Macaca fascicularis: one gene and its partner. The protein of the gene in region 1 purifies or fractionates together with the protein of each later gene. This does not show direct contact. Links are inferred from orthologs where the notes say so. Each region holds a gene or a part of one and is shown on either strand. Other genes may lie near its edges. The genes, in order: EIF2AK3 and TBL2.

Region 1 (3,909 bases):
AACTTTAACGTGCATGTGAATCACACGGTGATCTTGTTAAAATGCAGACACTCTCATTCAGGGAGTGTGGGGTGGTGCCCGACTCCGGATTTTTAACATACTCCCAAGTGACCATGATGCTATTAGCATCAGGCTGTATACATATACACAGTCAGCTCTAACCTATTTTTCTAGCCTCATCTACTTCTCCCTGCCTAGCATACATACGTGCATGTCAATATCTCTTACGTACATACACACACACACACAAATAAACATATACATAGACAAAATGTTTTCCAAACATAATCTCCAGCCTCTGTGCCTCTTGCTGTTTCCTCAAGTCCAGTGACTGTCCATTACAATTTTCCCATTTTTCAGGAACCAATACATTCTGCCACAACCTTCTCTTATCTTGTTACCTATCCCCAATCCCATACCTCACCTAGTAGAATACCACAAAAACCCTGGGACATCCCTGACACTGGCACTGTTTCTGGTCTGTAATGCTGTTATAGATCTTCTCGTTTCATCCTTACTGTTAGACTGCACACTCTCCTGGAAGGCAGGATCTACCTGCCTGACCTCCGTCACCCAGGGCATCCTTGGGCTCTTGTTAACCAGTAAGTACCTGTTGAAGTGGATTTGAATTCTAAGAAAAACAAAACTCTACTTCATGTAATTCATTTTGAGCAGGAGCTTCAGAAATTTCTTTATGATAAACAAAAACACTCTTCCAGGAAAATTGAGTCATTAGCAAACCTAAGAAAACTTTGTTTTTTTTATATATATATACACATATATATATACACACACATATACATATATATACACACACTTTTTTTTTTTTTAACAAATGTTTATATATTCAAATGGTGCCTAGAGAATTTTGGTACCTATCTTATTTATAGTAGTCTGTAGATATATAGATCAAAGTTCTAATATTAATTTAAAATTAAATCTAACTTGTTATGATCTAGTAATGACTATATTATAAGTCTAAAATATGTTCCAATCCAGAGCCCAGCCTTCCCTGGTTTAATTTACTTAATGCTCCCTTTAACACTCCATTTATAAAATGGGACATCACTTTCTCCACGGGTGTGATAAGATTGGCTGTCCCAGAAATTTACTGTTAACATGCCTTACATTGTGTCTAGACTTTGAAAAGTGCTTTAAAACAATCACCTTGAAGCAATATTTTTTGAATGCTGAGAAACTCAAAGAAAACCCTATATTAAATGTTTATACAGTAAACCCCCCTTATTCAAGAACCCAACTACGGCTCTTAGGTTCAAGAATCAATATTCAAGAATTTGACTACAGCTCTTAAACTTTAGCGTGCAAGAATTACCCGGAGTGCTTGTTAAACATGCAGATGTCAGGCTCTTACCCAGGGAATGTCTGATTCAGTAAAACTGGGGTGGGCCCTAGAAAACTGCAGATTTCACCAGCACCCCCAGGTGATTCGGATGCAGGTGTTCCGCAGATCTCAATTAGAGAGACACTGATCTCAATCCTTGCCTGGGTGCACTACATAGTTGTGTTTGAAGGAAAATGCAGACGTCTTTTGCTAAAGTCCTTTCTCAAAACAGCTGTTACGCCAGCACAGACAGGAGGCGATGTGAGTAAGGAAAAAGAGGGAAAGGTTCCTTGGAAGATAATCAATGCTCGAAAACAATGAAAGAGGGGAAGTGGCGTTTCTTTGCAACCCTGGAATTTCATTCTCCCGCACCTGCGAGGATGCTGCTCTCACCCGTCGGCCAGGACCAGGCGCTCGGGAGCCGAGCCCAGGCAGGTCGCTGGCCGGGGGATGGGAGGGCGTCGTGGCCCCGCGCTCGTCCCCAAGTCGCCAGGTGCCCTCGCAGCCGAAGGAAGACGCCCGCCCGGGTACCGGATCTCCGCCCCCTGACACCGCATCCTCCGCAGCTCGCGCGCGTAAACAAGTTGCCTCCCCAGGGTCGGCAGCCCCTCACCTGCCGCGCGGTGGCAACTCTGCCTCATCGTCTGGTTCCGGACCCCGCGGCTCCTGCTCGCCCGCGGCCGCCGGCAGCGCCTCAGCGTCCTCCACAGTCACCTCGGCCGCAGCCACGGCGCCCGCCGCCGGTACTCGCGTCGCTGAAGTGGGAGCAGCGGCCGCCCCGAGGCCGAACGCCGCCTCCGCCGTCGGCGCTGGGAGGCCACGGGCGCGCCCCGCGGCCACAGTCCATGCCGCGAGCCCCAGCAGCAGCGGCAGCAGCAGCGCCAGTACCAGCAGCCCCGGGCGGGTGGCGCGCTCCATCAGCGGCCCGCCCCGCGCGCAGGCATGGAGGCGCAGCCACTGGCGTCTGCCTTTCCCGCCGCTCGGAGCTCTCACCAAGGCAAAGACGCGCTAGGGACCCTACCGCCGTCCCGACGGCCTGGACAGCCAGCCGTGTTCCCCTGGCCACGTCTCAGCCCGGCCTCTGCCGCTGCCACCTGAGTGACAGCCTCTCTCGGACATCACCCATTGAGCAAACTTTCCGCGCTTCTGCTCTCTCATTGGCTGCGGCCGCTGCCACTCTAGGTTCCCAGGCTGGCCTTGTTGGGGAAGGCGGACTTTCCCTGGTTGTCAACATCGCACCAACCAATCAAATCGTAATTGCGTCGTTCGAGGCCCGTCCCTCTTCCGGACGCAATTACCAATGAGAAATGCCCCTCCCCGACGTCTTTTTACCTGATTGGTGTGCTCATCAGTTCCCGGAATACCTTTCCTGCAACAGATTGGCCATCGCGGTGGTTGGCCTCGCCCCACAAAGCAAGGCGCTGGAGAAAACTTCAAGATCATTGGTGGAAGTGGATATCCCTCAAAGGTCTGCGCTAACTGCCTCTTGATTGGTTGGAAGCGGCACTTACTACGTGGCGGATTCTGACTGTGAAGAGGACGGTCCCAAGTGAAGGGACGGTCCCAAGTGAAGAGTGGGAGGCAAGTCCCTTATGAGCGGCAGGAGGTCGACCTTAAAGGAGCTGGCATTGTAGCTCTTCTAAAGCCTAGTCTACTTAGGAAGGCAAAAGCGAAGTAGGAAGAAGTGGCCATAGAAGTCGTGTGGCCCCTAGAAGTGGAAGGGTAAGGAGGGTGCAGGAGATGGGCCTACTTGTGGCCGCAACTGTGCTCAGAAGTCCGCTTGTTAGAGATGACAGTGACTTGCGACAATCCAGTCTACCCGACACGCCTCCCGCCTCCTTAGGAACGGGAAGGAGCCCCGGCCCGGTGCACTGACGTATTTTGCCTAAGATCACATAGCTGGTTGGTCACAGAATCATGACTTTAATTCATGTCTTCTGACTCTGACCTGGCACGCTTTGTACCTCACCAAAGACAGTGATGAAACTGCAAAAGGGCAGAGTGGAGAAGATTGGAATGTTCAGCCAAGGCATTTGAACTTTTAATACTGCAAGTCAAGACTTCCTGAAGATTTTTGAGCAGATGAGTGAAGTGATAAGAAAATGCATCTTCAGCAGTGACAGCATCAATGATGAGGAAACTAGCCGGGAGGCTATTACCCGCATCAAAACCAGTGAACATTAAAAAAAAATTTTTTTAGAGAGAGGGTCTTGCTCTTTTGCCCAGGCTGGAGTGCAGTGGCTTGATCATAGCTCACTGTAACCTTGAATTCCTGCGTTCAAGCGATCTTCCTGCCTCAGCTTCTGGAGCAGCTGGGACTATAGATGCGTGCTAGGCCAATTTTTAATTTTGTTTTGTAAAGATGGGGTTTCTGTGTTGCCCAGGTTGGCCTCAAGCCATCCTCCTGCCTCAGCCTCCCAAAGTTCTGGGATTACAGGCATTACCCACTGCACCTGGTCCAAAACCAGTGAAGATGTGTTAAAGTGTTGGCAATATGGGTATACTAGATTATCCTTCACCTGCTAAAAACATGCTCTAATCTCTCCCCAGCCCAAAACAAACAAGAA
Region 2 (3,909 bases), on another chromosome or scaffold:
GTCACTGCACTCCAGCCTGAGCAACAGAATGAGACTCCGTCTCAAAAGTAAATAAATAAATAAAATGTTTTCTATTTAAAATTCTCCCTTTTAACTTTCCACTTGCCAGGCCATCTCCAAATCCAGGTCCCCGTCACCTCCCTCTCGGATCCTTGAAGTCACTGCCGGTTTTCTGTATTTGGTCTTTTCACACAAAGGTCCATCCAGGGAATCATCAGACACAGCTTTTGCCCCACCTCTCCCTGTAATGAGCAGCTTGTTGGGTGGAGTCAGCGCTCAACGTCCCCCAGACCTTTCCACCCCTCTCGCATTTCCCACATCCCAGCTTCTCAGGTCTTTGCAGAGGCTGTTCCACACCACACACCTGGCCTACTCTTCCCCCTTCTCCACCAGCAGTAAAAGTAAAAGCCGGTCTCATCTTTCGCTGATGCTGAGTTTCCTGTTCGTTAAATGGTAATAATAATCCCCGCCCGCTTCCTTGAGAGGATCCAGTGTGGTGATGGCTGGAATAACGCCTTTAATAAACAATTATCAGTGAGTTCCTCAGGAGGAGGCGTGAACAGGGGTTGCAAATCCCGCCTTCCTCCGCCCTCCGCGGTTCTGCAACCTCAACCGCCAGGCGACCCGCCCCTCGAAACGTACCAAGTAATCGGGCCTCGCCCCTCGAGATGTTCTACCGCCAGGCCCCGCCCCTCGAGACGCTCTACCTCCGGGTTCTGCCCCTTAAGATGCGCTAACAACCCAGCCCCGCCCCTCGAGACGCTCTAACTCCAGGCTCCGCCTCTCGAGGCGCTCTAATAACTAGGATCCGCGCTTGGAGATACTCTAACTCCAGGCCCCGCCCCTGGAGACGTTCTCTAACTCCAGGCCCCGCCCCTCGAGACGCTCTAACCCAGGCTCTGTCCCTCCAGGCGCTTTAACAACCAGGTCCCGCCCCTCGAGACGCTCTACCTCTGGGTTCGGCCCCTCGAGACGCTCTAACCCAGGCTCCGCCCCTCGAGGCGCTTTAATAACCAGGTTCCTCTCCTCGAGACGCTCTAACGGCCAGGCTCCGCCTTCAAGGAGCTCTAACAATCAGGCCCCGCCCCTCGAGACGCTCTAACAGTCAGGCCCCGCCCCTCTAGCGCCCCAACAGCTGGGCCCCACCCGTTGAGACGCTCTAACGGCCAGGCCCCGCCCTGAAGGTATTATAACAACCAGGCTCCGCCCCCAGGCGCTCTAACGGCCAGGCCCCGCCGCTCGAGGCGCCCCAACGGCCAGGCCCCGCCCCCGCGTGCGTGCGCGACTCCGCAGAGCCGTGCGGGCGCCCGCGTACTCACTGGCTGAGGTGGCAGTGGCCCCGCCAACATGGAGCTCTCGCAGATGCCGGAGTTCATGGGGCTGTCGGTGTTGCTTGGGCTGCTGGCCCTGATGGCGACCGCGGCGGTAGCGCGGGGGTGGCTGCGCGCGGAGGAGAGGAGCGGCAGGCCCGCCTGTAAGTGGGGCCGGGTCGGGTGGGGGCGACCCGCGTGACCTCCTCGTGGTCCGAGCTGTGGTTTGGGCCCGCGGCTGTTGGGGCTCGGCGACTCCATGGGCCTCAGTTTCTCCTCTGGTGACGTGAGCTTCGCTTCCAGAGACGAGGGCCCGCCTCGCCGGGCTAGGCGCACCCCCTGGGGCAGGACTGGCTCCAACCTGGGCCCCGCGCTGCGACTTTCACCGTCGCCCAGGCTAGGCCGTCCCCGGGGTGGCCAGGAGAGCACCGTAAACTCTTCAGCGATCTCAGAAAAAGCACCAATTCTGTGATGTGTGGCAGCATTTGCTGGGCATCTATGACCCTGTGATAGGCTTTGGGGTCTTTTTCTGTAAGGAGTCCAGTAAAGGAGAAGTACATCTGCGTGATGAACACCTAAACATGTAAGTGAAAAACAGTGAAATAAGTTTCATTGAGGCCAGGCGCGGTGGCTCACGCCTGTATTCCCAGGACTTTGGGAGGCCGAGGCAGGGAGATCGCTTGAGCCCAGGAATTTGAGACCAGCCTGAGCAACATAGCAAGACTCCATCTCTACGAAAAATTAGCTGGGTGTGGTTGTGCACGCCCCTGTAGTCCCAGCTCCATGGGAGGCCGAGGCAGGAGGGTGGCGTGAGTCCAGGAGTTCAAGGCTGCAGTGAGCTGTGATCAATCGCGCCACTGCACTCCAGCCCAGGTGACAGCAAGAGCCTGTCTCTGAAAAGTTTCATAGAAGAGGTTAGTACTGGAAACGGGAAACACCAGAGAGGGAATGGGCAGCCCTGCTCTTTTTATGTTTGAGACAGAGTTTCGCTCTTCTTGCCCAGGCTGGAGTACAGTGGCAGGATCTTGGCTCACTGCAACCTCCGCCTCCCGGGTTCCAGCAATTCTTCTGCCTCTGCCTCCCGAGTAGCTGGGACTACAGGCACACACACCACCAGGCCTGAGGAATTTTTGTATATTTAGTAGACACGGGATTTTGCCACGTTGGTCAGACTGGTCTCGAACTCCTGACCTCAGGTGATCCACTCGTCCTGGCCTCCAAAAGTGCTGGGATTACAGGTGTGAACCACTGTGCCCAGCCAGCCCTGCTCCTTTTTTTTTTTTTTTTTTTTTTGGTGACGGAGTCTTGCTCTGCCTCCCAGGCTGGAGTGCAGTGGCGCGATCTTGGCTCACTGCGAGTTCCGCCTCCCAGGCTCATGCCATTCTCCTGCCTCAGCCTCCTGAGTAGCTGGGACTACAAGCGTCCACCACCACCACGCCCGGCTAATTTTTTGTATTTTTTAGTAGAGACGGGGTTTCACCGTGTTAGCCAGAATGGTCTCGATCTCCTGACCTCATGATCTGCCTGCTTTGGCCTCCCAAAGTGCTGGGATTATAGGCATGAACCACTGTTCCCCGCCCAGCCCTGCTCTTTTACTGGGGAGGTGGTTGTTAGAGAAATCATTACTGAGAATAGGGGCACATGAGGTAGTGTGGGGTCTCAAAGGATGGTTCTAGAATAAGAGTTTGCCGCAAAGCCAAGGAAAAAAGACATTCCTGCCAATGGCAATACCCGAGCAGGCAAGGAGTCCCCAAACAGCATTTGGTATGACTTAAGTGTGAGGAGGGGGGCTTGTTAGACAAGCCTGGAGAGAAGGAAGCAGAGGACAGATTGTGGCTCTGTTTGTATGCAGGGCTCAGGAGCTTTTTTCCTGTTGGAATTGGGGAGCATCTGCAGTCATTTAACACATGCTAGCTTTGTGACTCAAGTATCTTATGCAAAAGTGATTGGCTCCACTCTCCAGCACAGGGCTCAACAGATGTTGACTTCTCCACCCCGAGTTCTTTTGGGTGCTGGAGTGCAGTGACGCAATCTGGGCTCACTGCAACCTCCACCTCCTGGGTTCAAGCAATTCTCCTGACTCAGCCTCCTAAGTAGCTGAGATTGCAGGCGCCTGCCACTGTGCCCGGCTAATTTTTGTATGTTTAGTAGAGACGGGGTTTCACCATGTTGGCCAGGCTGGTCTGGAACTCCTGGGCATCAAGATGATCCAGCTGCCTCAGCCTCCCAAAGTGCTGGGATTACAGGCGTGAGCCACCACGCCCAGCCTCCATAAAGCCTTTAATGCTTGTGTTTGGTACTTTTGCTTGTCATTTTGTAGATATCTCATCCAATTCAATCTCCCTTATTTTTGTTTATTTATATCTTTTTTGAGACAGAATCTCATTCCGTTCCCCAGGCCGGAATACAGTGGCGTGATCACTGCATTCGAACTCCTGGGCTCAAGCAATTTTCCCTCCTCAGCCTCCGAATAGCTGGGACCACAGGCGCATGCCACCATTCCCAGCTAATTAAAGTTTTCTGTAGAGACGGGGTGTCACTCTGTTAACCAGGCTGGTCTCCAACTCCTGAGCTCAAGCAATCCTCCTACCTCAGCCTC

What was found.
Region 2: the proteins of EIF2AK3 (region 1) and TBL2 purify together in Homo sapiens (affinity purification with western blotting; 3 studies listed by BioGRID). This does not show direct contact. The link is inferred for Macaca fascicularis from reciprocal best matches to the Homo sapiens genes EIF2AK3 and TBL2.

The regions. Positions count from the first base shown.
Region 1 is NC_088387.1:22,339,071-22,342,979, reverse strand, and holds the start of EIF2AK3 (eukaryotic translation initiation factor 2-alpha kinase 3), read right to left. Parts: upstream 2,450-3,909; 5' UTR 2,261-2,449; coding exon 1,956-2,260; intron 1-1,955. UniProt on the Homo sapiens protein: Metabolic-stress sensing protein kinase that phosphorylates the alpha subunit of eukaryotic translation initiation factor 2 (EIF2S1/eIF-2-alpha) in response to various stress, such as unfolded protein response (UPR).
Region 2 is NC_088377.1:52,443,512-52,447,420, reverse strand, and holds the start of TBL2 (transducin beta-like protein 2), read left to right. Parts: upstream 1-1,317; 5' UTR 1,318-1,347; coding exon 1,348-1,474; exon of another isoform or gene 1,475-1,893; intron 1,894-3,909.